Coturnix japonica: one gene and its partners. The protein of the gene in region 2 purifies or fractionates together with the protein of the main gene of each other region. This does not show direct contact. Links are inferred from orthologs where the notes say so. Each region holds a gene or a part of one and is shown on either strand. Other genes may lie near its edges. The genes, in order: RPAP2, POLR2C, MED26, MED9, MED19, CTDP1 and RPRD1B.

The links.
Region 1: the proteins of POLR2C (region 2) and RPAP2 purify together in Homo sapiens (affinity purification with mass spectrometry; 3 studies listed by BioGRID and IntAct, with this or other methods). This does not show direct contact. The link is inferred for Coturnix japonica from reciprocal best matches to the Homo sapiens genes POLR2C and RPAP2.
Region 3: the proteins of POLR2C (region 2) and MED26 purify together in Homo sapiens (affinity purification with mass spectrometry; 3 studies listed by BioGRID and IntAct, with this or other methods). This does not show direct contact. The link is inferred for Coturnix japonica from reciprocal best matches to the Homo sapiens genes POLR2C and MED26.
Region 4: the proteins of POLR2C (region 2) and MED9 purify together in Homo sapiens (affinity purification with mass spectrometry; 3 studies listed by BioGRID and IntAct, with this or other methods). This does not show direct contact. The link is inferred for Coturnix japonica from reciprocal best matches to the Homo sapiens genes POLR2C and MED9.
Region 5: the proteins of POLR2C (region 2) and MED19 purify together in Homo sapiens (affinity purification with mass spectrometry; 4 studies listed by BioGRID and IntAct, with this or other methods). This does not show direct contact. The link is inferred for Coturnix japonica from reciprocal best matches to the Homo sapiens genes POLR2C and MED19.
Region 6: the proteins of POLR2C (region 2) and CTDP1 purify together in Homo sapiens (affinity purification with mass spectrometry; 3 studies listed by BioGRID and IntAct, with this or other methods). This does not show direct contact. The link is inferred for Coturnix japonica from reciprocal best matches to the Homo sapiens genes POLR2C and CTDP1.
Region 7: the proteins of POLR2C (region 2) and RPRD1B purify together in Homo sapiens (affinity purification with mass spectrometry; 3 studies listed by BioGRID and IntAct, counting the BioPlex papers as one, with this or other methods). This does not show direct contact. The link is inferred for Coturnix japonica from reciprocal best matches to the Homo sapiens genes POLR2C and RPRD1B.

What each region holds. Positions count from the first base shown.
Region 1 is NC_029523.1:12,310,251-12,315,044, reverse strand, and holds the start of RPAP2 (putative RNA polymerase II subunit B1 CTD phosphatase RPAP2), read left to right. Parts: upstream 1-1,622; 5' UTR 1,623-1,663; coding exon 1,664-1,724; intron 1,725-2,149; coding exon 2,150-2,195; intron 2,196-3,037; coding exon 3,038-3,152; intron 3,153-3,570; coding exon 3,571-3,669; intron 3,670-4,556; coding exon 4,557-4,622; intron 4,623-4,794. Other genes in the region: GLMN (glomulin), read right to left, coding at 756-821.
Region 2 is NC_029526.1:1,904,228-1,907,156, reverse strand, and holds the end of POLR2C (DNA-directed RNA polymerase II subunit RPB3), read right to left. Parts: exon of another isoform or gene 2,144-2,929; coding exon 2,069-2,143; exon of another isoform or gene 1,578-2,068; intron 1,407-1,577; coding exon 1,262-1,406; 3' UTR 908-1,261; downstream 1-907. UniProt on the Homo sapiens protein: Core component of RNA polymerase II (Pol II), a DNA-dependent RNA polymerase which synthesizes mRNA precursors and many functional non-coding RNAs using the four ribonucleoside triphosphates as substrates.
Region 3 is NC_029543.1:3,359,517-3,363,489, forward strand, and holds the end of MED26 (mediator of RNA polymerase II transcription subunit 26), read left to right. Parts: intron 1-495; coding exon 496-2,190; 3' UTR 2,191-2,873; downstream 2,874-3,973. UniProt on the Homo sapiens protein: Component of the Mediator complex, a coactivator involved in the regulated transcription of nearly all RNA polymerase II-dependent genes.
Region 4 is NC_029529.1:4,803,822-4,808,660, forward strand, and holds the start of MED9 (mediator of RNA polymerase II transcription subunit 9), read left to right. Parts: upstream 1-1,529; 5' UTR 1,530-1,564; coding exon 1,565-1,713; intron 1,714-4,561; coding exon 4,562-4,778; 3' UTR 4,779-4,839.
Region 5 is NC_029520.1:7,805,141-7,809,197, reverse strand, and holds MED19 (mediator of RNA polymerase II transcription subunit 19), read left to right. Parts: upstream 1-1,700; 5' UTR 1,701-1,723; coding exon 1,724-1,919; intron 1,920-2,060; coding exon 2,061-2,317; intron 2,318-2,384; coding exon 2,385-2,481; intron 2,482-2,563; coding exon 2,564-2,658; intron 2,659-2,795; coding exon 2,796-2,864; 3' UTR 2,865-3,129; downstream 3,130-4,057. Other genes in the region: TMX2 (thioredoxin-related transmembrane protein 2), read right to left, coding at 1-97, 184-249, 329-435, 516-592, 876-989, 1,114-1,174, 1,441-1,629. UniProt on the Homo sapiens protein: Component of the Mediator complex, a coactivator involved in the regulated transcription of nearly all RNA polymerase II-dependent genes.
Region 6 is NC_029517.1:72,181,145-72,185,009, reverse strand, and holds the end of CTDP1 (RNA polymerase II subunit A C-terminal domain phosphatase), read right to left. Parts: intron 1,884-3,865; coding exon 1,742-1,883; 3' UTR 848-1,741; downstream 1-847. UniProt on the Homo sapiens protein: Processively dephosphorylates 'Ser-2' and 'Ser-5' of the heptad repeats YSPTSPS in the C-terminal domain of the largest RNA polymerase II subunit. This promotes the activity of RNA polymerase II.
Region 7 is NC_029535.1:8,680,356-8,684,237, reverse strand, and holds the end of RPRD1B (regulation of nuclear pre-mRNA domain-containing protein 1B), read right to left. Parts: intron 3,235-3,882; coding exon 3,085-3,234; 3' UTR 768-3,084; downstream 1-767. UniProt on the Homo sapiens protein: Interacts with phosphorylated C-terminal heptapeptide repeat domain (CTD) of the largest RNA polymerase II subunit POLR2A, and participates in dephosphorylation of the CTD by RPAP2. Transcriptional regulator which enhances expression of CCND1.

The DNA of each region.
Region 1 (4,794 bases), on a different chromosome or scaffold from region 2:
TACCCCTGATATGTAGTACTGTATCTAGTTTGAGTACTGTATCCAGTTCTGAGTACTGGATTCATTTCCGGGCTCACCGGAACAAAAAAGACAGAGTCCAGTGGAGGGACACAAAGATGACAAAGGGCCTGGAGCATCTCCCATATGAGGAAAGGCTGAGTAAACTGGGTCTATTCAGCCCTGAGTAAAGAAGACTCAGAGGTGATCTTATTAACATCTATAAATATCTTAAGTGTGGGAGTCAAAGGGACACAGCCAACCTCTTTTCAGCAGTGTGTGTGGACAGGACAAGGGGAAATGGCAATAAACTGAAGCACACAGGAAGCTCTGCATCAAAACACAACAGAACGTCTTCATGGTAAGGGTGACGGAGCACTGGAACAGGCTGCCCAGGGAGGTTGTGGAGTCTCCTTCTCTGGAGATATTCAAGACTACTCCTGGACACCTACCTGTGCAGCCTGCTGTAGGGGGCCTGCTTTGCAAGGGGGCTGGACTTGATGACCTCTGGAGGTCCCTTCCCACCCCTACAGTTCTGTGATTCTGTGATATGTTCACTTTGACATGTTCTGCTGAGAGAAACAAGAACACTTCTTTCTCCAAGAGGGAAAACTTGGGAAAACAGTCAGGGAGAAGTGAATGAAACATGGAGACTAAGCCCAGATAGCAGCAAGGAGATCTTCTAACAAGTATCTTGTGTTCTGAAGCCATAGAGTGAACCTTTAATTGCACTTATGACTTTTATGAGAAGTACTTACGCATCTTTGTATTATGGCTTGAAGTTCATCAACTGCCATTATTGCTTGAGTTTGCTCTTCAGGCATTGAAAACTATTAGGAATTAAAAGGTACAGTATTAAAACACATTAAGTAAATGCAGAAATTTAAAAATAAATTAAAAAAAATCATGTTATTAAGACACCAAATAGAGAAATGAGAACAGTCTTTTAGCTACTGCATGGCCACATACAGTGGGAGCTGTATGTGCCTTCATATGTGCCTTCAGGTGCCTGCTGCCTTGTACCAACAGTGGTTTAGACCAGTCAAGACTACATATGCAACATTATTCACTTCCTTGCAGTGCTGGCCGATCAAGCATTCCATTTTCTTCAGGTGCAACAATTAAAAACTTCAGGTTTGGGGATTCCTGTTTGTTTAACAGCTTTGAGTACTTTCTTCTGCCTAAGGCTCGTTATACAGCCACTGTCCCTAACCCACCACCAATTTCCATACGCTGTCAGCTCTGCTGTTTTCCCCCCCAGCCCTCGGACACGTGACGGCACACACGGCGCTGCTCAGCTCCCCACGCTGTCAGGCCTTACGACTTAACCCACTTTCTAATTACATCTTTCCAGCGGTTCCAGCGGCAAACGTACAGCACCCAAATAAGCACAAACTTACTGCTGCTTATACTCAGAGCCCTCCCTCCTCTATTAAAGTAGCTTTCCCACGTGGGGTGCCACATACACGCCAGCACGAGGGGCTGCTAAGGTCAGCCTTTAACCCAGGGCTGAATTACAAACAAAACCCGCAAGAAGCGCTCCCCGCTCACAGCACCCACCGTAACCGCTCACACCGCGCTGCCGCCGCTCCTCGCTCCCGGCCCGGGCCCGGCCGACACGGCTCCGCCTCCGGTGAGAGGTCAGAGGGAGGGAGGCGGCAGCGCCATGATGGCGGATGGGAAGACGCCGTGCAGTGCGAAGGGGAGGCCCGGCCGGCGGCGGGCAGGTGAGTTCCGCGCCGCGCTCCGCCCGCTCCGCAGGCCGGTACAGTGAGTTAATGCAACTCCTGGCCGTGCCGGGCGGTAGCACGGCAGCACAGCAGCACGGCAGCACGGCCTGGGCTGGCGGGGCACGAGGGTACCGCGAGTTCGGGGCGGCTGCGGCAACACAGCGGCTGCACGGGGCAGGGCTCCCCGCAGGAGGTCGGATGAGGGCAGGCCGTGCTCACCCCGCAGCGGTACAAAACCGTACCTGACACTGCCCAGCGGTTATTGCCTTGCTGAAGGCATAGCCAACAACAGCGAGGCTCTGTGCATTCCAATGTGCATTCCAATGTGCTTGCAGAAGTCTTCGTGTTTTTTAAAAGTTCCAATGTTTTCATTGCTAAAGGAAGAACAGACACTTATATGCTTCCATGTTTTCGATTTCTAGGACATAAACGGTCGGCTGCCCCTAAAAATGAAGATGCTGATCAGAGGTATCATTTCTAGCAAACAACACACTGCGATCACTTTGCTTTGCTTCACTCTGGAACTGTGCTCTTTTCCTCCTGTGTTTTTGGCTTTGCCAGAGATGACTGACCTCCAGAGACACCAGCATCCACCTCCAGCAGGTTTTTGGTGTGATGCCGTGGGTCTTTTAAACAAACATCAACTTAGCATTGCTTAGAATAGGCATAGCCATCCTGTTTGGATAGAGCTGCACATTACATCTGAACAGGGCTGAAAGCTGCATCCCCTTTAAGCAGCATAGAACAACACAGTACAGGTGCCTCTGCCAGCTGCTCCCACGTGTCAGACAGCCGCCCATCAGGGAGAGATGCCCAGAGGAATCCAGATTTGCAGTGGTGACACAGATGGCAGGAGAACAACTTTCCAGGGGGAGGTGGAGCTACAGGAGGTATCTCTGTTCCATCACCTGGCTGATGCACAGTTCAATTGGCCTGTCTGACAGAGTGAGAATAAAGTTCAGCAAAGGCTACAATCTACATATAGAGAGAGAATATATCAAAATATGCCTCACTGCAGATACATGGAAGGTACAGGAAAATACCAATGGGTGCATATACTGGAATAATTCTGTTGTGGTTTGACAATAAAAGTCAATACTTTTCCTGACTGGGGAGAAAATAAAGCAAAGAATCTTTTTGTTTGTCTTTAGTGGTTATTACAAAATTTATAGCCCACTTATTGCTTTGTTTGGCCAACTTGATGAGATGCAGAAAATATAAACTACTGTGTTTCAGAAAAGAAGATATCCAGGTGGGGAATTGCTTATGGGAGCTGCTTTCTGTTTCATTCAACATCTCTTACGTTACAGGAAAGCAGCCCTGGAGGCTTCTACTAGAAAAAAGATTGAACTTGAGAGAAAGGCACTGCGTATTGTTGAGCAGCTCCTGGAAGAGGACATTACTGAAGAGTTCCTTCTGAATTCTGTACGTGTCACAAGTTTTTGTGTTATTTTGTATCTTAGTGTCCAGCTGTTTTTTAAAAGTCCTTAGAACAATTTGCTGCAGTTCAGAGCAGACAAGTTCATCCTCTCTTGTCAGCTCTGTTGATGGCTGCCTTACTTTCAAGGGTTCTCCAGTGAAAATATGCTCCAGTTTTGTAGGATGAGATATAATTGTGAATCTCTCTCTATTAGCATACTTTATGCCTCTGGGAAGCACAAAAAGTTAAGTCCATATCATGCCCTCTGTGAGTTTAGCCAATGGTGCTCTTTACCCCACAGTTCAAGTGCTGTATATTAAACTTACAGTTATAAAATGGAAAGTATGTATTTGCTTATTTACATCTGAGTGTGAAAAGTAACAGATCTTCCAGTATTCTTGAACTATTTTCTTGTAATTGCAGGGAAAATGTATTACTCCATCTCACTATAAGGACGTTGTTGATGAACGGTCTATCATCAAACTATGTGGTTACCCCGTATGTCAAAATAAACTGGAAAATGTAAGTTGCTTTTTTTGTTTGTTTTTGAGTAATGTTATCATAAGAACCTAATCACATTTTTTATTCTCTTGCTTATTTTTTTCATTTTAAACTTAGAATGTTAAAATATAGATTAAAATGCTGTCAGGTATCATTTCAGTATAATGCTTCTGAAGTTAAAAGTTAAATCTGATTGATTGACAACTGTTGCTGTATAAGGGAATCAATTACAATCTATTTGGACAGTAATAAAGATAAATAAGGTGTGGTGTCATAGCTATCCTTTGTGCATGCAGAAACATTTTAATCTGTTCCTTCTGTACCTTTGTAAGAAGGGCTGATATGAAAGAGGTAAAACACATGGGTATTACTATGTGACTGCAAATACATCCCCTCCAAAAACAGACCTTACTTGTGTCAAAATCAGTCATGCCTAAATACAACGTATTAGAGCTTAAGTGGAACTATGAGTTCAGTTACATAACCATAATACCAGGTGTGATACAACCAGTTATCTGGGAAAAATAAATCATGAAAGGAAAAATAGGTACCGTTTTGGATTTCACATGTCCCAACAGAACTTGGAAACTATTACCTTTGATGTAAGCTCCCCTCTGGATTTGTCTGAATAGTGGCAGAGTCACACATGAACAGGGTTTCTTCTGTGACAGCTCCATTGGTTCACTCCCAGCAGAGGCTTTCTTGTAAACCTGAAGTTGCCTACTAAGATGTGAATGAATAATGAGAAATTGCAGTTCTAATGTCTAAGGAGATACAATACCAAGAGAGCTGCTGTAGTACGTAATTCAGTTAAAACTGAATACATTACTTATACTGAAAACGTGAATTAAAAGGAAAGTTTTATATAACATTGTGACAATCTTGCTGATGAAAGCATGTCATTTTAGGTGCCAAAACAGAAGTACAGGATTTCAACAAAAACTAACAGAGTTTACGATATTACTGAAAGAAAGGTATGGTAACAAGCTGTTTTTAGAATGTATTTAATATTGTCTCCACATCACAAATGCATTTTGTAACAGCATTCATATAATGGACTGAATCACAACTAATGCATGTGTATCTCATGAAAATCATTTTCATAAAGTAAGTAGTGTGTTTCCATCTCCAAAATGTTAAGAGTCA
Region 2 (2,929 bases):
CAGGGGTGTAACCTGCTCTTTTCCTGGCTGCACGCCTCAGCTGGAAAAGATTTCACATTTATGACCAAAAAATATTAGGGTTTTTTTTTCCTTCCTTCTTTCTTTTTTCTTTTCTTTCTTATTTTTTTTTTTTTTAAGGAATTGCTCAATGAATAAACAACCCTTATCCACCCTTCCTGTTTGTCTGTTCCATCCAAACATGCTCGGGAAGTACATGTTGGAGTATCACATGCCAGAGAGCCAAAAAATGCTGAGCAGGGGAGATTTCCTCATGCTACAGGCAGCGTTTGGCTCCAAGCTTTGTTCTGCCTCCAGCGCCTGCAAGGACATTCCAAAGGAAGCCCTGCAAGAGCTGGGGAGGGAAGAGGGCTGTAGCAAGTCCTGCTCACACTCTCTCAGCAAAGCAAGGAGCCTGTCCCACATCCTGGGTGCTGAGGAAGGGGAGAAGGGGTGACTGTGCAGCTCTTGGAGCCCTCTGGCCACTGCTTTGGTTAAGCACAGAGCCAGCTCAGCCCCTGCATGCTGCAAAGAGCTGCCAGCTGGGGGTTACCAGTGACAGACACTGCCCAGCCCCATGGCACACAGCACATGGGCAGAGTCTGCTCCAAAGGAGTCCTTAAACACAGCTAAGTCTCCCTGGCCCACCCTCCCTCCTGTGATGTGGCTCTTAGCAGCCCAGCCTTGAACATCTGCTTTAAACATAGTCCTGTCCCTGGCAGTTCCAGCACTACCTGCTGCAGGGGTTCTGGCACCCTCAGTAGATCACAGAGCTCAGTAGGTCAAGAGCAGCAATCAGCTGTTACAGAGCAACGCTCCCTCCAAAGCAGGCCTCATTAAGTTAATGTCTGTTGGAGGGAACTAAATGATGTGTTATCTCCTCCTGCAGCCCCAGATGAGCTTTCAGAGATGACTGAACACAGGCGTTAAGGCTTTATTCAGTACACTTAAGGAACAGACATACAAACAGGACAGGGTTGTGTAATTGAGGTACATGCTTCCCAGTCCCAAACACTACGTGACCACAGTCCAAAACTCGGATCAGAGACAAAGCCCACCCCCACCCAGCAAAGACTTTCCTCCTGCTTTACCCTACGTGTCATCATGGCTTTCTCTGGGAAGAGAAGTGCTACTAACGAGCAGATCTGCACCAGGAGAAGCAGAGGGAGATGAGGAGACAATCCCTCAGCCCCGAGTGCAGCCAGGCAGAGGCAGGAACCTTCTGCATCACTCCTGCCTGGACAATCTCCTGCAAAGGGCCACCTCAGTTTATAGTGAGCACATCACTCTGGATCTCATGGCTCAGCTGGGTCTGGAGGTCACTCAGCTTCTTCTTCAGGCCAGACAGTGCAGAGAGAACGATGGTTTCGGGGCGCAAAGAGCCACAAGATTCCACGTTGTAATAAAACCTGAGGTTACAAGTCAGGGAGAAAGTTACCAAGTGTTCTGTGAGGAGGTACAAAACCAGAGAGCACCCACACAGCAGCTCTAACCCACCAGGACCCACTGCAGGGAGATGCTGAGCTCCCCTCTGGGCATGAGCCAGCACTGCCCTGCTACAACAGCAGCCACAGACTCCCATGGAGCTCATAGCAGCCCTCACGACCCTCCAAAATGCAAGAGCCCTTGTGAGGCTTTCTCTGCTCAGCTATGTGATGTGAAAGCTGCACGGGGAAGCTAAGACTGGCTGTCTGGCTGCAGGCACTCCTGCAACACATTATCACCTGGTAGAGAGGGCAGCAGCAGCAATCAGAGCATGAGAGACTCACGTGGGTGAATAATACTGCTGATGACATCAGTGTCTTCAGCATCACCCTAAGCCATCTCTCCAAGACACTTGACCAAATATTGCAGTGCCCTACCTGGTAACAGGAACTCTGAAGAGTCACCCAGAGGGCAAAACCTGCCAGGCCTGGGCACATCACCAGTTAATTGCAACTCCTGCCTTGCTTTCCAGGGAGCAGCAGCTCTCTGCGCTGGTGCAGCACATCCAACTCACACCAACAGCAAACGCAGTGCACCCAGCTCCATCCCCCTCCTCCCAGCAGTGGGAGCACATCCAGCTTCCTACCTCTCGGGCTTCCCATTGGGGTCATATGGAGCCTGAGCATCCTCCTCATCGATCTCTGAGTATTCACTCTTGGGCCTGGAATGAGAGCAGGGAAGGTCAGCACTGGATCAAATCATGGAAAAAAAGTTCACATTAATGTAGCCCTTTCTATTTCCTCCACCTTGAGCAGCCTGAGAAGCCAGCATAGAAAACTCCATGCCCACCACAGTCTCCTGCCAGCCTCCCTCAGACCCAATGAGACCAAGATCATCGTGTCCTGTCACCAGTGGTCCTCAATAAAACTGCATTTTCCAACAAAACCTTCCACCTGCAACAAATATATAGCATTCATGAGCCTTCATGTTACTTGCCACGCTGTCCATTACTGAAAACAGGGCAGAGACTGAACCTTGTTTCACCATGACGTCTGCTTTGAGAGTCCAGCTGCATTCCAGCACTCTGCCAGCAGCCTCAAAACTAAAACCAAAACAATAACTATCCTTGGATAGCAGAGACATCTGTCTCTGTATTGTCTTCACTAGAAGCAAGATGAACTTGGAAAGAAACCCATTATCATCAGGGAACACACAGCTCCAACAGCAATCACCACTTCTTTAGGTCCTTCTAACTCTGACACTGATTTTGTCAAGAATCTCTCCAGGGCTGTTTCCAGGTACTGCACACAACAGCAGGCTCATGAGGATGCAGCCCAGTCTGCCACCAAAGGAATCTGCATCAGCGCTGCCTTGGGCCACCCAGACATGTAAAGCCTCACCACAGAGGGACGCAGGTTCAGCCTGTCACTTCTTAACATCCAGCATTACAGAAATTAAACCAGAGAGTTTTTGTGGCACCACAACGAAGCCTAAAATTATTTCAAAT
Region 3 (3,973 bases), on a different chromosome or scaffold from region 2:
TTGCAGTCCCAGGATGGCTGTTTTCCAGTTGGAGTTGAAATCCATCTTGATTTTAGTCAGTGCAGTTTGTGTTTTGATACATGTATCACAACATGGTATGTATTTCTCACCAAATCCAGTCTGTCTTCCTTTGAGGTGCTTTTCTGAAGTAATCGACTTGTAGAACAATTCTTTGCTTTCAGGCATGTTTTGGGAACAATCTCTTTGCTTCCTTCCACTTACGGAACCATGTTGGGACAACCTAGGAAAGCTCATTTGTTGGCCTTTTGAGATAGGGAGCAAAGATGGAGGAAGAAGATAGGACATCACGCTTTGGTTTGTGCAGTGGAGATTTATATTTGTAACATATGGATTAATTCAGCTCTTGCATCTGTAGCATTTTGTACCAGGCTTTTCTTAGGGTAAGCATTAAAAAGCAGGAATTTAACTTAAAAATGGGGTCAGAATTTTGTTTTGAATTATGCCTGTTGGTAAAACAAGTTTTGTGTTTTGTAGGAAACAAGGCTTGGGAGGCTTATCAATGAGGTGAGGAAGAAGACATCCAATGAGGAACTTGCCAAACGTGCCAAGAAGTTGCTGCGGAATTGGCAAAAGTTGATAGAACCTGTAACCCCAAATGAGGCGGTGCCAAGAGGGCTGCAGAATCCACCCGGATCAGCAAATGGTGGTGCTCACAACTGCAAACCAGAAGCACCCCTTCCTGCCGTGGCTGGGTCAAAACCTATCAGTGAATTGAAAAGCAGGAACGATATCCAGAAACTAAATTCTCCAAAACCAGAGAAATTGGGAAATCGGAAAAGGAAAGGTGAACACAGGGATGGGCACCAGGGCCCCCCTCCCACCAAGGTCTCCAAAGTTAGTCATGAAATATTACAAAACTCTTCATCCCCTCCAACAAACGGAATTGGAGGTAGTCCCGAGAGTTTTCCTAGTCCTGTAGATGTAAATCTACATGCAGGGCCTGAAAGCAGCAGGACAGAACTTAGTGAAAATGATAAACACAATAAGATCCCAGTAAATGCTGTAAAACCTCACACCAGTTCTCCAGGACTCGTAAAACCTTCAAGCACTTCCTCGTTATTAAAGACTGCAGTGCTTCAGCAGCATGATAAATTGGAAGAAACCACCGGGTCGCACCAACCCAAGAGTCCGCGCTGCTCCTCGTTTAGCCCTCGAAATGTTAGGCACGATACTTTTGCTCGGCAGCATACCACGTACTCACCAAAGGATTCAATGCCTAGTCCATCTCAAAGGTCTCAGTTCTTAGATACTGCACAGGTGCCATCACCGCCACCATCCTTGATGCAACCATCAACGCCTCCAATGCCAGCTAAAAGACTGGAGTTCTCTCAGCAATCAGCATCTGAGGTGTCCCAGCACTGGCAGGAGCAGCAGGTACCTTGTGACAGCCAGCACAGGCACACAGCAGGGACACTTCCACAGCACACATCTCCCAGTTGCAAAACCAGCTCCCACCCGGGGGAATCTCTCATGTCGCACATCGGCTTTTCACAGGACGCTTCAAAAATGGACAGTGATGATGCTGCTTCAGGTTCAGATAGCAAAAAGAAGAAAAGGTACCGACCTAGAGACTACACAGTCAACTTGGATGGGCACGTGACAGAAGGGGGTGTGAAACCTGTGAGATTAAAAGAGAGGAAGCTCACTTTTGATCCCATGACAGGACAGATAAAACCTTTAACACCGAAAGATCCTTTGCAGGTAGAAATCCCTGCACTTACTGAACAGCACAGGACAGAAACGGAAAAGCAGGAGCAAAAACCCAACCTGCAAAGCCCCTTTGAACAAACGAACTGGAAAGAATTGTCCAGAAATGAAATAATTCAGTCATATTTAAACAGACAGAGTAGCTTGCTGTCTTCATCAGGAGTACAGACTCCAGGAGCTCACTACTTCATGTCTGAGTATTTAAAGCAGGAGGAAAGCACTAGAAAAGAGGCTAGAAAGACTCACGTTCTGGTTCCTAACAGCAAACCTACAGACTTGCCTGGGGTCACGAGGGAGGTCACGAATGATGATCTCAACAGAATACGTGAACATAACTGGCCAGGCGTGAACGGTTGTTATGATACACAGGGTAACTGGTATGATTGGACACAGTGCATATCTTTAGATCCACACGGGGATGATGGTAGATTGAACATCCTGCCTTATGTCTGCCTAGACTGAGTAACAGGTTTGCTAAAATGCTTTTACATTCACAGTTAGCGAGAATGGCAGACACTATGCCACTTAAAGATGGAGAAAGCCTCCTGTCCTGGACAAATAGGCCCAACGAGCAGAGGGTGAGAGGGAGCTGGTTACGTACAGCTCTTCCCTTTAAATTCTCCTTTTGTGAAATGCTGCTACCAGTTTACTAACAATTGCAAAGGAAGGCATACGAAGGTTGAGAAAACTGAGTTCAAAACTCTCTAGCGAGCCAGCTATAAAAAAAGTGTTAGTCCCCAAGAAGTGAAGATGATTTCCAGCACTTTCTGAATGCCGGAATCTGACGACAGGCAGGTACAGAGAAAATTGTGGAAGTTACCTTAACAAAATATGCATCTATTTATTTGACTTGATTTGGATTTTTATTTGGCAGTGAGGTATTCAAGAGACGATGTGCAAAAACTGTAGTTTTATTTGTATGGCATCTCTGAACATGATTGTGTTTTTTTTTAAAGTCATGTGGTACGGAGATTGGCTTTTAAACAGCAGGTGTTGCACTGCAGGCTGGGAGACCAGCTTCAGCTCAACATTCCATGGGCATCCACATGTTTCAGTCTGGTTTTGGTTTAAATCCAGTCTCTGAGAAATGCTGCAAAAAAAAAACCCAGATATTTCCTGACATTTTTGATCCCGCCGCCACCAGCCAAATATTTTCCTCCTTTTCCCTTCCTGCAAAACTACTAGGAAACAAAAAACTAAATAAAAAAATCACCTTTTCTAGAATCTAAATGTAACGAGGGTGCTACAAGTCCGTAACTGTACTGTGAGAGGGAAAAAGGAAGCCTGTTTGTATGCTGGAAATATACTTGTTACCATTCCTTTAGATATTGTTTGCCTTATGGATATCCATCATAAACGCAATTTGCAAAAACAAAGAGCCTTAGTGAATGTACAGTACCTAGACTTCTGTGTTCCTGGGATGCAGAAGGGAGCAACTTTGCTATTTGGTCCTTTAAGTGGACACATTGTGATATAAATGTGGAAATAAAAAAAAATTTGCACAAAGCAGTTTGTGAATTATTTATATTGAACTAATTTATTTTTGAAGATCTGCTCCATTCCAAGTAACAGAACCCAGTGGAGCCGTGCGGGTCCCACCGGGCAGTGCCAGCCGCTGCTGTTAGGGACGTAGTGATGTCTTCCAGTTGTGTTGGTGGTATTTGGTCACAGGTTGGATCGTTTTGAACTCTGGTTGCATCCAGGGGTGAGAGACTGATGACTGTTAATGTACCTCAACGTCTAAGGAATTGTAGTTCATCTTCTCACAGTAATTTTGTAATATATTGTTCCTAATTGTTAAAAAAAATATATATTTCTAACAGCAGCCTAATTCAGTATAGAAAGCTCAGAATTTCTATTGCCTGTAATTGCTTTAACGTTCGGGACAAGTTTTCTACAGTCCCCGCTGCTGGATTTGTGTCCAGGGCAGAGCGGGAGGGGACACCAGACCAAAAACATGCTGAGGTTCAGCGCTGTGCATTAACTGCTCTGTGCTGAGCCTCAGTGCAATGGGAGAGCTGTGGTGAGAGCAGAGTCAAAGCTCTTCGCTGTCAAGTTGTGATTTCACGCGTGTTCCTCACCAGGTATACGTTGATTTGGTTCATTCCATGGAATACAACCGAGAACGTTTGGTTTATTTTAAGTCATTCTTGTTAAAACCTGCTTTTGTGGTTTGACTGGGATTGCCGCGTGTGAGCATCAGAAATCGCCCCATGTTTGTTTGCTTCTGTTTCTGAAACCCGAG
Region 4 (4,839 bases), on a different chromosome or scaffold from region 2:
AGGTGTGAGGCAGACAGGGCTGAACACCACTGAGACAAAGCTGTAGATTCCAATTGCTGTGGGAACACGTGAACCAAAATGGGAACGGAATGGTACAAAGAAATTCTGATTGACAGTGCTGTAGTTCTGCCTGAATGGTATCTGCATGTTGTCACCTACTCTAATGACTGCCTGACTCACCCATGAGAGGCAGGCATCCAGCAGCCTAGCAATTAGCCACACTCCTTGATAAAGTCTAGGGGAGAGTTAAAACCAGCACAGCACAGAATAAAATGACCCCTGAGGAGCCTGAATCAAGTCTTGCTTTAGAAACAGCCCATAAAACGACGTGCAGAAATGAACCTCTCTGCTCAGCCCCACACAAAGGCATTAGCATCCTGTACCTCCTGCTTGGTTCAGTCAAGGGCCATGAATCCCACCAGCCTTCCCGCAGGGATCTGCTCAGCAGGTCCTGGGCACCCCTGGGCTCTCCTGCACATTCCAGAACTGGTGACCAAGCCGGGATCTATTCTTGACAGTAGAACAATGTGAACAATTGCATCTGCTATATTTAGAGCGAGCAGTCAATAATACATACGCACAAACGGTTACCAGCGTTCTCATTTGATACATAAATAGTTCGCTTTTCAAAAGAAATTGTTTTTTAAAATGAAAATTACCTTTCCCGTCATCCCTGGGCTATAACTAACTGATGAACCCGGGAGCTGAATTCAAATAAAAAACAAAATTATCTGTGCTCTCTAAGCCAATCCAGGAAGGATAACTCACGACTGTGGCTGCTGTTATCAGTGCTACAATAGTGTGTATTGACAGAGCGGTTTAAACGCGGCAGCAGCAGTTTGCTGAAGCACACTCCTGATGGTGCACAGGGGCAGCACTGCTCACCCTCACCTTCCATGCAGCGTGTTCTCCATCACCCCCTTGCACTCACAGCCCAGGCACCCAAGAACCCCACCTCTCCCCTCCTTGCAGCTTCATGGATGTCTCAGCCCTGCTGCTGGATTTTTGCCTCCATTCCTTCAGGTTTCTCCAGTTCCAAGCCCTGAAAGCCCTTCTCTTCTCCAGGCTGAACTCCCTCAGCCTGCCTTTATATGGGAGAGGTGCTCCAGCCCTCACAGCATCTCCATGGCCCTCCTCTCCAACGAGGACAGCCAGGAACAGTTGGGCTGCACACAGGTCAGGGATGCTGTAGGTCACACTGTGGGGTGCTCAGTGTGGGTGTGCAGGGCACTGCCTTGGGAGCACAGGCCCGGCTCAGCTGGGGAACACCTCAGCAGCAGTGCAGTCCCATATCTGAGACCCAGTCCCAAAGCTTGACCCCGGGCTCAGCCCCCACACCCACCCTCACAGCCCAGGACCCAGGGAGGCCTCCGAGCCCCGCTCCGGCCCAGGCCTCAGCCCCAGGCCACGGCCCGCAGCATCCCCACACCCCAACCTCCTGCCCAGGCCCAAACTGAGCCCCACACACAAGCAGCATCTGATGCTCAGCCCAGGCCGCCGCCGGGGCGGTACAGAGCGGCCGAGCTCCGCCCCGCTCCGTCACTGCTCGGCGCCGGGGGCCGCCATGGCCTCGGTGGTGTCCGCAGGCCGAGGGGCCGCCGAGGAGCCGCCGCCGGCCGAGCCGCCCACCGAGCAGAAACCGCCGCCCGCCCCGCCGGCAGCAGCGCAGGAGGAGTTCTCCTTCCTGCCGCTCGTCCACGACATCATCAAATGGTAACGGCGGCCGCACAGCGCCGGGCCGGCCTCACCACGGCATCACCCCGCAGGGATGCTCCCTCTGCCCTTTCTCTCCCCGCTGGGGTCTATGGGGGGGTTGGCAGCTGCTCTGCTCTGAGCCGGGCCCGTAGTTGGGGTCACCGAGGTGGGGCAGGGCCGGGTGTGCAGCAGCAGGAGCCGTGCCGAGCTGTTATTGCCCCGTATTGCTGCTCTGATGGGCTGATAAGTAAAGGACGGGCAGTCCCAGGGCAGCACTGTCTGTTTCTGGGCGTTGGGAGAAAGAGGAAGGCTTGTGCAGGCTGAGTCATCCTCTTTCCTGTTCAAAATCAATGCTGTGGGGTTAAAGGTGTTCGTACGAGGGTCCTGACAACCAGCGTTTGTGGCCCAGGGTAACCCTGTCAGAAATGTTTGAGTTCCCGGTAGGGGCATCGCCCTGCTGTGACCTGGGCACGTTGCACAGTGATGCAGAGGGCACAGGAAGCGTGAATTCCCACTCCTTGTTGTGGGTCTGACTGCCCTTTCCCTGCACGCTTCTATGGGAGCTGAGGCTGCTTTGTTTCCTGCTGGGGTTCTGTGTGTCTGAGTACCCAGAAGAGGTTCACCCTTATTAACCATGCAGCTGGAGGAGCATGGCAAGGAAAGGCCGAATACCCCACAGACACGGCAGCCTAGAATCTAGCTCTCCTAGATTCAGGAGAGCTATGAGAACTCAAACCCACCCTCCATTTCCCCCCTGCGCTGCCACTGTCCCTGTGCTCAACCCTGCCTGATCCATCCAGAGGTGATGCTGAACCTGCTGCCATCTGTATATGTGTGCAGAGCCAGAGTGAGCCAGATCCACGGGCTGAGACCTCCCAGCCTCCTGTGTGTCACCAAGCAAGTCGTGGCGACCCACAATGACAGTGCTGGGATATCCTGTGCCCTGTCCCTCTGAGCCACCCACTCCCACTGCCCCGCTCCCCCCCAGGTTGGCACACAGCATTTCCTGCACGGGGTGAGCAGACGTAGGTGCTCAGAGCAGCACTGCAGAGGGGTCAGACGGCAGAGCCGAGCAGTGGGATGAGTTGCCTCATGTCCCTGACAGATGGCAAACGTATTATCCTTTAACGCCGCCGCCAGGCTCACAGCCCGGCCCTGCTGTTCTGACACTGACTCAGCCCTGAAGACATTTCACATCTCCAAGGTGACTGTGCTGGGGTGCAGTGATGTATCGCGTACATTTGCTTACATTCAAGGACACGTGTTCCTTCCTGTTGTTTGAGTCCCAAGAAAGTTCTCCCAGGCAGGGCTTGCTGTTACTTTCACCCTTGTATAATCAGATGAGGTTACCTGTGAGGTCCCTGTGCGTGGTGGGTTGTGCTGGTGTATCCAGGAGCTGCAGGTGGGACATGATGGAGTTATGATTTGTTCACAGCAGTGAAGGAGAGCTGGTGGGCAGCTGGGGAGGGTCTGAAGATCTCAGTCCTTGAAGGGAGATCCCAAGCACTGTGAGGCTGTGGCTGGACATTGCATTTAATCCTGTGTAACTGCAGGTAGCTGAACCTCTTCCCACTCTTGCTCTCCCCCCTGCCTTTCCATGCCTGCAGAGGAGCTGCTTCAATTACTTGAAAACTCCCATCAGAAACAAAACAACAACAAGCCTGAAAATAGTTATTCCTTCAAACCAACCAACCAACCAGGCAACCATCCATTCTTTGGATGTGGAGAAGAGAACGAGCTGTGGAAGGACCTGGTCGGCCCTTTGAATCCAGCATGCAGCTCGTGTGGATTAAAGGCAATGCCAACCCATCCTTCCCAGATGTGCAATGTGTGTGTGCCTGTATTTTTCCACTGTCAACTTGACCGTAAACGCCTGCATAATGGGGGTACATTATAGTACCAGCTGCGGTTTTATTTAGAAGGGAGTCATGAATATTTTGTTCCAACAGGCTGTTGAAATGAACGGGACCATCTGGTTAAAAGTTTTGCTCTCAGTCGTGTCACGATTCCCCAAAGTTCTAATCAGGCACCTCTCTGCCCTGGTCATGCCAAGCAGTTTTATTTTGGGCCTGGCTATTGAACAGGCTCCCAGCTTACAGGGGCCGTTAGCAGCCTGCTCTCGTTATTAGCGCTGCCTTGGAAGCAGTCTCGCCTTTGCCTGGAATGGTAAAACTCCTTGCTGTAGCTAACAAAGCTGAAGCAGATACTAATGAGGGTTTGAGGGCAGACGCTGCCTCAGACGACGCTGATCCTCGAGAAGCACGGAGCTGCAGAAGCAATTGTGCTGCTCTTAAAAAATAAGCTGTCGCTTCTCTTTATTAGGTAGACATCCCCGGAGAGTCGTTCTGAAGCTCCGAAATGCCGTTTTCTCTGCCATTGGACACACTCTGGTACTTTGGGGAACGATTCCTATTTTCTGCTGTCAAGCTGTTTGACTGCATCGATTTCTTGTATTGCTTTGACAACAGGTCACAGACGGGGCTGAGGTCTTTTTTCCCAGGTGCCCACACACAACCTGTGTGTGTGTAATCTTACCTTCCCCATATGGGAATTGAAACAGAGTGAGAGGCTGTGGTAGTGTTTGAAAGCTGCAGACCAGGTCTTAACCTGTAGGACTGCAATTAAGGTTACTGGATGGTGTGCTGAAAATGACCAGGAAACCAGTTTGTCCCAGCAGCTGCCTAATCTGTGTATGTGTCTCTGGTGGTTTTGTTGTGATAGGTGTGAATTAGATCCCAGGAGCAAAAGTTTCCCAGTGAATTCCAGCGTAAGCCCTGACCATGCTGGGAATGACAGTCCACCAGCAGGCAGAAGGTCTGTCCAGCAGGAGATGTGAGTCATGCCTCTTGTTTTCTCCCTTCTGCAGCATGGACAAGGATAGCCAGGATGTTCACCAGGTGCTGAACGAGCTCAAGAACAAGTTCCAGGAGATGAGGAAGCTGATCAGCGCCATGCCTGGCATCGGTGTGAGCCCAGAGCAGCAGCAGCAGCAGCTGCAGAGCCTGCGGGAGCAGGTCCGGACCAAGAACGAACTGCTGCAGAAGTACAAGAGCCTCTGCATGTTCGAAATCCCTAAGGAATAGGAAGGGAGCAGCTCTGCAGTCTGAGGCTGGGATGCCTCTTCTCCTGGCTGGAAAGGAGAGG
Region 5 (4,057 bases), on a different chromosome or scaffold from region 2:
CTTGTCAATCTGTGGGCGACGCATGATCTCTGTCCCTCCCTGGAAGAGGATGAGGGTGGGCAGCTGCTTGGTGAGGGGCGAGGTGCTCACCTTGTACCTGCAGGAGTAAGGCAAGAGGCAGACAATGACATCAAGGCACTTGGAAGGCCTGGTACCTTCCTCTACCCTCTCGGCCCCACAGACCTGGTGCTGACATCCGTGTATCGGCCAACATCCACCTTCCCAAAGTGCAGCCCCGAGCAGTTGTACCTGGGAGACAGAACACAGCTCTGAGTGAGCACTGGGCTGGGACCGACTCAGCAAGGCCTCAAAAGCAGGCAGCACTCACTTGAGAGAGAGGTCAGCGAAGATGGGGGCAAAGGACTGGCACTCACTGGACCAGTTGGCGAAGAACTCGACGATCCAGGTCACCCGCTTGTCTCGTTCCAGCTCCTCCTGCCACGCGAGTCAACAGGGGATGGTAGGCAGGGAGCCCGGCACCCCACGCCAACTCACACTGGGTAGGAGATACTCACATCTATGGTCTTATCGTTGAAGTACTTGATATACTCAGGTCCCATGTAAAGGGGTGGCTTGCAGGTCATCAGGAACACTGCAATAACAGCATCCCTGAGCCCAGCGCCCACCTGGAGCGAGGCCTCTGCCCCCTTTTTTCCACTTCTGGAATGCCCAAGAGACACAGGCTTAGTCTGAGGGAGGCTCCTCCTTCCCCAGAGCAGCCTGTATGGCTACAAAGACAGCAGCAGCACAAGGCAAGATGGCTCCAGCCCCATTTGAGGAAGGCAATGCACAGGATGGGCAGAGACAAGGCCTGACAGGAGCACTGTTACAGCCCCTGCATTACGGATCCCCCCCCACTTCCCCACGTGTCTCACCGATGCAGAGCGTGAGGTAGAGCAGGCCCATGCGGATGTCAAGACGGAAGAAGAGGATGGCGTTGGCCACTTTGCTGAACATGAAGATGTTCCCAATGTGCTGCTCCACAGTGACTGGGAAGGAGGGAAGAAATCAGAGATGGGGCCACGTCTCTTTTCACTCTCATCCCTCAACTGTTTCCAGTACAGAGACACCCCATCAGCAGCTTATACTCAACCCAGCACTGCCCCAACTCACTGGAGCGCCGGTTCTTCATCATGACGATGGCGCTGAGGAACATGAGGATCTCCACCTCCCGCTGCACAGGAGAGAAACGCAGTGAGCACCGTGACAGCCACAGCCACAGCCACAGCCACAGCCACAGCCAGCACCTCGGGCACAACCGAGCAGCCCTGCAGCACAACCACAAGGCCAAGCAGCCATTCCAGGCCGCTCCAGCCTTCATCCTCCGCCTGCCCTCGATCAGGAGCCGGGGCTGCGCACAGAGGGGCCGCCTCGGCTGCACCCAGCGCCGGTGATACCCGAGTAGGCCACGGCACAGGCCGGCCCGGTGCTGCCGCTCACCCAGTCGAAGTCGCAGGGGTTGCCGTCCTCCCGCTGTGAGGGCAGCCCGCGGCACAGCGGCGGGACCTTGCGGACGAGCAGGAATGCGGTGGCGAGCAGCGCGGACAGCGGGTAGTAGGGCCGGGCCAGCCAGCGGCACAGCCCCGGCACCGAGTACAGCAGCGCCAGCAGCGGGGCCAGCACCGCCATCTTGTCCTCCGGCCGCCCGCCGCGCTCCCATTGGCCGGAGCTGCACGTACGTCCGCGAGGGGCGGGGCGGCCCCGCGCGGGGCAGGGCGGGAAGATGGAGAACTTCTCGGCGCTGTTCGGCGGGGCCGAGCCGCCTCCCGCCGCCGCCGCCGCCGCGCTGGGCTTCGGGCCCAACAAGGGGCCGGGAGCGGGGGCCGCTCCGCCTCCAGCAGCCGCCGTGCCGCCGCCGGGAGACGACGCGGCGCGCAAGGCCGCCACCGGCCCCTTCTACCTGCTGCGGGAGCTGCCGGGTGCGGGCCGGGCCGCGGGGGAGGGGGGGGGGGCGCGGGGCCAATGAGCGGGCGGGACGCGCGGAGTGACGGCTCGTCGGGCCAATGGGCGCGGGCGGTCCGGCGAGGGGCGGGGCGCTGAGGGTGCCGGTCCGTCCGCAGGCGGCACGGAGCTGACGGGCAGCAGCAACCTGATCACACACTACAGCCTGGAGCACGCGTACAACAAGTTCTGCGGCAAGAAGGTGAAGGAGAAGCTCAGCAACTTCCTGCCCGACCTGCCCGGCATGATCGACCTGCCCGGCTCACACGACAACAGCAGCCTGCGCTCCCTCATCGAGAAGCCGCCCATCTGCGGCAGCTCCTTCACGCCGCTCACCGGCACCATGCTGACCGGGTTCCGACTGCACGCCGGCCCGGTGAGCACCCGGGGGAGGAAGGGGGGATGGGGGTAAGGAGGGGGTCCGCTGACATGAGCCCCTGCAGCTGCCGGAGCAGTGCCGCCTCATGCACATCCAGCCGCCCAAGAAGAAGAACAAGCACAAGCACAAGCAGAGCCGCACGCAGGACCCTGTGCCCCCAGGTAGGACCGTGCCCTGCTAACTCTGCACCCCATGTGTCCTGGTAACTCTGTGCCCCGCTCACCCCTCCTCTGCTTCCTGCAGAAACCCCCTCGGACTCAGACCACAAGAAAAAGAAGAAGAAGAAAGAGGAGGATCCGGAGCGCAAAAGGAAGAAGAAGGAGAAAAAGAAAAAGAAGGTAGGTTAGGAGGCAGCGTGCTGCTCTGCTCTGCCTGCACCAGCCCCGTGCCAGGCCGCGGCAGCACCACACGTTAGGCCTCCAGCAGGGCTTGGCACTGGGTTTCACAAGGCCTCACGCCTGTCCTTCTTCTGCAGAACCGACACAGCCCCGAGCACCCCGGGGTGGGCAGCTCGCAGGCCAGCAGCAGCAGCAGCTTGCGGTGAGGCTGCGCTGTGCTGCTCTATGGAGCTCCCTGCCCCAGCTGTGGACTCGTCCCATCACAGAGCACAGCGGGGAGGTGTGGGCACTCATGGTCCCCGCTTGCAGAGAACGTGGCCTTGCAACCCCCCTGCTTGCACTGTGTGGCTGATGGGGACCTGGTGACGCGGACGCTGCTGGAATGGGGGCTCCTACCACACCTAAGCAACGTGGTGCATTGGGATCTCACTTTTTTATTCACCTTTTAATTAAAGTCTGCTCTGAGGAAGAGCTGGTGCCAGTGGCGGCTCTGACTGTTGGCCAGCGGGGCAGGGCAAGGAGCAGAGGCCTTGTGCCTGTCCCATCATACTCCAGGCCTTGCAGCTCTCTGGGCTGTGAGAGAAGGCTCAGGAGGACACAAGTGACCCCAGTTCAGCACCATGTCCCCCAGGGCTGCCCCTGTGGGGGCTCCTACAGAAGAGCCAGAGCCTCACTGAGTCCTGGGACATGTTCCAACCCTGACAGCTCCACTTACCTGCACTGAGAGCGCTGTGCCCCAAAGTGCCCTAAGGAAGCACATCCCAGCTGTGAGGGCGCAGGCACTGGCAGCCCTGTAAGGCTGGGCCCGGCTCTCCTTGTCCCCTTCCTTTCCACTCCAGACGAGGGAGGGAAAGCTGAGAAGTGAAGGACAGGATCCTTCACGGACTCCTCCATCCCTGGACACCGCACAAAGCACACGCATGCCCGCTGAGGTGACTCATTAAATATCCTTTTATTCCTCGTTTTTAAAATGGCTAATCATAATAATAAAAAAAAAAACAAAAAACCAATGGCATGGCTCTGCGGAGGCCACAGGAGAGATATTGCCATAGAGAAAGAGTCAAGTAGTGCGTGAAGTTGCGTGGGCCCGGTGCGGGGTGGGCTCCCCAATGGGGCTGGGGGTGGCGGGGCAGCACTGGGCTCCTTGGCTGCGTTTTTTGGCATGTGATGAGAAAATATTGCTCGACAGGGATGTGCCTCTTCCCCACATGGAGATAAAAATAACCACGTGACAGCCAAAAAAAACCTGATCACCCATTAAAAAAAAAAAATAATAGAAAAAAAAACCACAAACCCTGGGGAAATGCTAAAAAAAACCAAAAAACAAAATATAGAGCAAAATGTGCAGGTGCAGAAAGGCTGCAGCCCTCACCTGCACACCAGCAGCTCCCCCGGTCAT
Region 6 (3,865 bases), on a different chromosome or scaffold from region 2:
CATTGCAAGGATACTCATCCTCTGCTATGTGAGGAGGCCGCATTATATTTTGACTTCCCTTGTTACAGACATTTCTTTAGCCTTATTTTTAAAAATGAATTTATTTTGCTATGCAGTTCAGTCTCCTGGAAAAGCGCTGCTTGTTTTAGCGGACAGATCTAGAAAGCAGGTCACTGCAGAATTCAGTTATGTGGCACCTGTGTAAATGTCCTGTAAGGTCAGTATTTTCTTACTGAGAACATTATTTTTATGTCATAGATGACGACATTGCATTCTGAATGGAAAAGCAGTAATAACTGGAGACGATTCTCCTGTTTTCTCACTCTTCCTTTTACTGCCATTATGAAGCTTTAAAAACTAGCCAGTTCTTTGTAAGGCAGCTGACAGAGTACTAAAATATCCTCCCAATTTTACTGTGAGATGGCAAAGCTAAGTATTCCTGAACTAGAAAGTAATTTTAACCACAACATCTGAATTAATGAGTCTTCTTTTGCTGATGTGCTTTAGAAGAATCTCATTCTCCCATTGCTAGAAACAGAATAAACCTTAGTTCTAGCTTCAGAAATTCAATACCGCAGCAGTAACCCTTACAGTATCTTCAAAGGTCAGTTAAAGGGAGAAGATAAAATGTCAGAATGAAACAGTTCACACACTTCACAGCAGTTCAATGTTTCTCTTCTCTTGCACAGTTATCTGCCAGAATCTCTTAACTTTGCAGTTGTTTTCAAAGTTTCCCATTGTTTTCATGAAGAGAAAAGGAGAAGTAAGATGGAAAGACGCCTTACATTTGATGGACGCAAACAAACTGCTGTTGCAGACCTCTGCGATACAGGAAAGGGAAACAAAATCTACAAAATGAATTTTTATTAAATGAAAGAAAATCTGTTTTGTGGGTCAAATATGAAATAGAATATACAAAAACTTTACATCAGATCTCTTTTCAAAGAAATTAAATCCTATCTAGACTGAAGTAGCACTCGTTCTTCCCAAGAACAACACAAATGGATGAATACGCTCCTTACGGCAGTACAGGATCACACAGTGTGCTGTGCTAAATTTCTGCTTACAGAGAAGAAAAGTTAAAAATCCTAACGGTGTCCCTAAAGAATCCAACTACTCCACAAAGCAACTTAAAAACATGACTTTTGATCATTATCTCAGAAGCAAATGACAAGTGAGTCAAGTGCAGAGTTCACAAAGCTTGCATACGATGTTCTCTGTATCTATACAAATATAGACTGTTCTTTTTTTCATTTATTTTAAAAATCCTTTTACATTTGATAGTATTCATTTGTGGAAAAGGATGATGAGTTCATCAGGTTCCCGCTGTACTACTCAAGCAATCGCACTTACTTTATCTCATCCTGTTCTTTCAGATTGTTACCAATAAACCACAGACTGCAATACTGTGAGAAGTTGCTGTATGCTGAAGCACAGACCTTTGTATTACTGTCCTGTATATGAAGGTTCTGCAGAGCTCATAACATGTCTTTGGCATAGCACACCAAGTCCCATTCCATACTTTTTTTTTGTTTAAAAAAGTATATTTTCCTTTAGTAAAACACCTTAAAAACATCTATTTCTGATTTTGTAAAATAACGTGTCACCTCTTGTGTTGCTTTGCAAAATATACACACACATTTTGGAAAAACATTGAGCACTGACATAAGGGACTCATCTGAAGTCTGATCTGCTTATGAGAAGGAAAATATAATTGGAAATTCCATCTTCTGCACGAATGTCACATGAAGTCATTCAGTTCAGCTTCAAGTGCTGCTGCCATCTCATCTGCTTCAGAACTGCTTCCCTCCTCATCTTCATTGCTAGATTCTTTACTGGATTCACTGGCAGCATCATCTTCATCCAGTTTGCGCTTATGGCCCCTGGAAAGACATGGAGATAAAGGTCTATGAATCAAGAATCACAGTATCTGGCTGCTTATTAACACAGACCACTAATATTTGACAGAAGGAAAAAAAAAAACAAAAACAAAAACAGGCCTAAGGACTCCTATCTTTTCAGCTTGAGACAAACAACCCCCACTACTGATTTTTAATTGCTCTTGCGGGTGCAAAGTGCTGTTAAATTCATTTCTCCCATTGATTTCATTTCTCCCATTCCTCTGAACAATGAATGGAAACAAAACTTAAGACTGCTTGAAAAAAATCAGTTAATTTAACTTCCTCTCAGGTAACACAAGAAAATGTGAGTCTGCCACGAGAATGGGAAACTACCAGAATTCATTCTATTTTGCCATGTGAATATGAAATATCTAAGTATCTCTTTCATGTTAAAATTAAGCCTCAACTGCTCAACCACTCTGACTGCTCTAGCTGCTCAACTTGTGTGCTTCATTCCTCCTTGTTGTGTCTCTTTGAAGCAGCACTGCTGGGCTGAGCTCATGACGTTACACAGGAAGCTGATGTGTGCTATATTCCGCCGGAAGAATCATATTCCTGGTTGTGAAAGATCTCCAAGGAAAAATCTAACACTTCAACTGGGACAAAGCCATAAGCAGAAGAATTTGGATTTGTGGAACCCTAAAATCTCTTTTCTTTGCCAAAGCAGAATTTTATATCAGATATATACTTCCGAGGCAAAAATAAAGTTGAGATCTTGCACAGAATTCAAAATGAGCTGTAGAAATACCTCCAAGAATTACTCCTTGATCATTTGATAGAATTTCAGAGGAATATGCTCAAAGTGGGTCTCTCTTAGATGTCCTTTTCAGTGTTAGGTAAAGCTTCACTTAGAGAATGCATCTACTTGCAAGAATGAAAAATTAACGAAGTATCCTCAGCAAAAAAAGTAATGATTTAGCAAAGGCCACTTCACTTCTAAGCGTATAGACAAGTACCACACAGCAAGAAAGATCTTTAATAAATACTGACTTGAAATACGTATACCTAAAAGAAATAGATATGAAGATTAAAAGTCAAACTTCTGAGCTTCTAAGCAAAACTGAAATACAAAGCAATTTCTATATATACAATGATGTTTTTGTTATCATTCGTCCAGAGCCATTAATTCTCAGAAGACCATACTTGCTGTCTGGCTCAGTGACACCTGACCTTCCTTGTTTCAACTGACAAATCAGGGTCCAAGATGTCCAATGGTAGGAGAACAGCACTGTGTTGCTCTGCCTTTCCATTATGGGTTCTACTGGGCCCAAAAGACACAGTGCGGCTGCTTTGCTGATTACCTGCTCACTATGATGTTAGATTTATTTTTCCTTCCGTACAGGGTGGTAGGAACAAGTTTGCAGATGACACAAAACTTGAGGAGTAGCTGAGGTATCAGAGTCATGATGCCACCCAGAAGGACTCAGGCTCAAGAACTGGGCTGACAGGAACCTCATGGAGTTACAAGAACAGGTGCAGAATTCTGCACCTGGGGAAGAACAGCCCCAGGCATCAGGACATGCTGGGGATGGGGCAGCTGGAAAACAGCTTGGTAGGGAAAGCACCTGGAGGGTGCTCTCACATGAAGAAGCACCCAGACTAAAAATGCTCAATTGGAAGAAATAGCACATTTCCATTAAATGTCATACAGAGTTAGTGTTTTACTTGTTTACTTCACGAGGATTTCAGCCTTGAGAGATACCGCACAGTTTTAGCCATTAATTACACTATTAGCTGGAGAAAAGCTAATTGCTGAATAAAGAAAGCTGAGTCTTACTCAGCAAAATCAGAAAACATTACTGTTGAACAAGTAGTAAATTAGAAATACAGCCTTGGTGCTAACCGAGCAATAAGATAAATAAAAACACAAGAGAAATCTACAGAACAACGTTCACAGTAGAAAACAATCATGTTTACAACATTTCAGCTACGGAAACTGAATGAACCAACTGAAAATAAAATGT
Region 7 (3,882 bases), on a different chromosome or scaffold from region 2:
AAGGAATCGTTTCAGACTCCCTTCTTCTCACAGAAAGCTGCAGATCAAACTTCCTGCAAGTCGATTACAAAAGCAGACTAAATATAGCCTCCTTAATGAAAGATTCGTAAATTGCTAAAAGTTATAAGCAGCTTTGCTGACACTCTCCAAGGCACATGAAACAATTATCAAGTTTGCCCAAAGAGACTATTGAATAGCAGTTAATTGGAGTGAAGAACCCATAAGCTCCCCCCCAAAACCTCTAAGAGAATTAATACACAATAAGATGTGAAGATCCTCCTCCTCTACAGAGGAAAGGCTTTGATTAGACAGCATCAAAACCCTGCAGGAACAGCAGCAGCTCTCAATGCTTCATACAGGAAAGTCAGTTTCCAAGCTCCTGTTTGGGTTTGGTTTCTGTTTGTTTGTATCCAAACCTAATTATTAATTCATCCTCCATATAACCTGAATTAATTTATAAGCTTGGAAGCCGGAAGTCTTCAGTGCCTTGTGCTTCTCTTATCAGAGGTTAGTTCTGAGGAATGCTGCAATAAAAGTAGAATGCAATGACCTAAGAACGCTGCGCATCCATTCAGTGTAAGTACTGCCACAACATGCAGATCACAGCTCGACTTTGTCCAAGTAATGGTCACATCTTCAAACTCTGCCATAAGGACCGATCAGCAGTTCCTGTCCTTTAAATGCAGAGGGTAAAAACACCCAAACAAAACCCACAGTGAGTCCAAGCAGCACCTGCACTGCAAATGAAGCAAGTAAAACCAGCGCTATTCAACGACACCCTCTTTATTCAAAAATATAGATCTATGAGACATTTCAGAATATACTGCTGTCACAAATGGCAGCCAATATGCCTACATTAATTCCTAAAACCATTAATATACAGATTTTAGCATTAAAAAAAAAGAGAGAGAGACAAACCTTGGGAAAATCTGTTTGACCTTCAGAGAACGTTACTCAGTTCACCAGATGTCCTTTGCCCATTAAAAGGAAAGTAAAACCTACGAGACTTCATTTAAATTAAGCAAAAGAAAACACACTCACACTTAGGGGAAAAAAAAACCAACCAACAAGTCCAAACATTTCTAGAATAAGAAAAGACAGACAGCCCGCTTCCTCACATGACGTCTGCCCAGAACAACAGCGTGAGATGGCAACACGTTTTGTCTTACAGTGGATATGGGTTCAATCCACAGTCAAAGCAATCACTGCTTAAAGCAACCTCAAGGTAACTCCGGGAGCTGTGGCAGGACAGAAATTCATCTTCTTGTTTGGGATTTTGGAGCTTTGGTGGCTTTGTTTGGTTTCCCTTGATTATTATCTTTGTTTTCCTATTTTATTCCCTTTTTAATGTTTGGCAAAAGCAGACTGTGTTGGGTGCCTGATGTAAGCAACATTTGGTCCACAAATGGTTGCAAGATCAAACCAATTCATGGAAAATATAATTCACTGCCATCGTAAAGTTTCCTGCCAATGAAAAAGAAAGGCATTGCCTGGCTGGGCAACAGGGGTGGAAGAAGTTTCCTTTTCACAGGAAAAAAAATAAACAAAAGTGAAACATCGGTAAGAAAAGCACAGGAGCTTTTCAACAACCAAACCACCAAACACATGGTGTTATTTAACTGAATGTCAATTGGCTACTTAATACTCCATAAAATAAATTAATGCAGACCAAGATTTGCATTTCTATAGGTATCTTCTCACGTCTTTGAGAACTGCAGCTTAAGACCAGAGCGAGGCACAAACACAGCACACCAACGTAACTCATTTCAGCCTCTCTGTGATAGAGCCTGTGCTGTCAGACCAAGTGTTTCCAGAAACTTCAGGTGTTCCACAGCAGGAGATATTAGATTTAAACAGATTATTTTCCCAGACAGGAATGGTTTTCAGTGATGAGAGTCCAGCTTGATAGACCTACCACACAAACTGAAATCTAATGACATCCATGGCAGCTAGAACATTAGCAAATTAAAGAGTACTCTAATTTTTCCCCCCCAATAATAAAATCAACTCACAATCTGTGATACAAAATTAAGTACATCCTTCTAATACATGCATAGATATAGCACATGTGCATGCTGGATGTGTATATGGGTCTACTTTCTAGATTAAGAAAAAAACGGGGGGGTTTATATCACATTTAACTTCTGTTCATCAATTAACTTGACTAAAGCTACAGGGAGAATTTATAGAATGCTTTCAGCATGACCACCTTCAGAGCAGATCTGCCACTGGGTGACGGCCAGTTACAATCCACCACACTCCAGCCTCTCAGTTAAACCAAAGCTTCTGTGATCGTTTATTTTGTATAATGAAGAGGAAAAATATAGTATAAATCTAAGGTAGCTAGAACAAAATTTACTTCCACTCTCGTTTAGGTAATATCCAGTTCTGCATGGCTCAGCAGAGCTTAAATTATGAAGCTCTCTAATTCACAAAGAAAAGCTGTTTATTTTTATTGCCTGTGGTGAGTTTCAATTTATGTTCATGCCAAATAGGAACTATTTTTTATGTGAGGCCTACAACAGCATGAGGAACTGTAGATTTAAAATATTTGTGCCATTGTTCAGTAGGTGCCTTTGTCCTTCACTGACATGATATAATACCTGCAGACACACATGCACGCACCCCTACGAAGCCCACTAGCCACTACTGCTTTCAGATACGAGCTTCAGAGACCCAGCAAAAACAGGCAAGACAATCTGAAATAATACAATAGTTTTACAGAGGAAAATGTTATACGGTCAGCCTTTCTTTGAACACTTTCCATATATGTACACGATTCTCATGACTTTCGTGGGGTAACAAGTGCTAAGAGCAAACAAACTAAAGAGTAAGGAAAAATTATGAGAGAAAATTGCTTATACGGACTATCCCCACTCCCTTAAGAGCTCACAAAAACTCGCTCTTTATCCTGCCCTCGTTGTGAGCCAGTGTACACAGAGAGAAGGTGAGCATGAGCAGCCAAGAGGTTGAAAGCAGGGTCTGAAAGTTCTTTCCTACTGTACATCTGGGAAGACTGGATTTCCAGTCAACAGTCTTCTTACTTTTGCTGGTAATAATGGAAACTAGGGGACACCATTTGTTCTAGTCTGTTGAAAACAGGTCACCAGCAGACGGCAGAGGTGCCAGACCTCCTGTGACGTTGGGCAGCAGTGACAGATCCGGAAGGCTCTGGATGTGAGATTTCAGCTCCTTGCGGACCTGGGTTACCCGAGCAAGCTTCTGTTTATATTCCTGCAGGAAAGAGACGAGAGACCAAGCATCAAACACAGGTTAACTTACAGTGCTTTTAGTTAAGCCAGGATTGTTTGTTTAAGTGAGGATTCTAGGAAAAAGTGGCAAGGTTTTGGTTGTTCTCTGTGCAGCTACTGCACGACTGTAGAGCTGCCATCTGCACCCAGACTCACAGCCTGCCCCAGCAAGAAGTCCACAAGCTTCAGCATCTCAGAGCCACTGATCCTGCCATGATACCTCAACAAAAGTTACATGAACGACCCCACAGACACTGAGACCTGGTGGAATATTTGACAGAACTGTCATTATATAGTTGCTCTATTCCTATATTCTTCTCCAGACAACTGGCTTTTGTGCAGATCCAAAGGAGGAAACTGACACAGCGTTATTCAGACACATCCCACTGACAAAGGCAGCAGTCTGAGGAACACCCCAGGTATTACTAATCTGCTGAAATGTGCTTCCTCCCACCCCAGCTTGATAAGCTTGGAGTGTTTGGTTGTGAAACAGAGGCTTCTTGTCATGAGATAGACGATACACATTAGCAACCCCAGCAGCTGTTACATTAGACTGGCATGTGAGCTCAGAACACAAGTGATCACTAAATATAAATCAGACAAAGGTTTGGCCGCACTGGATTGAAATCAA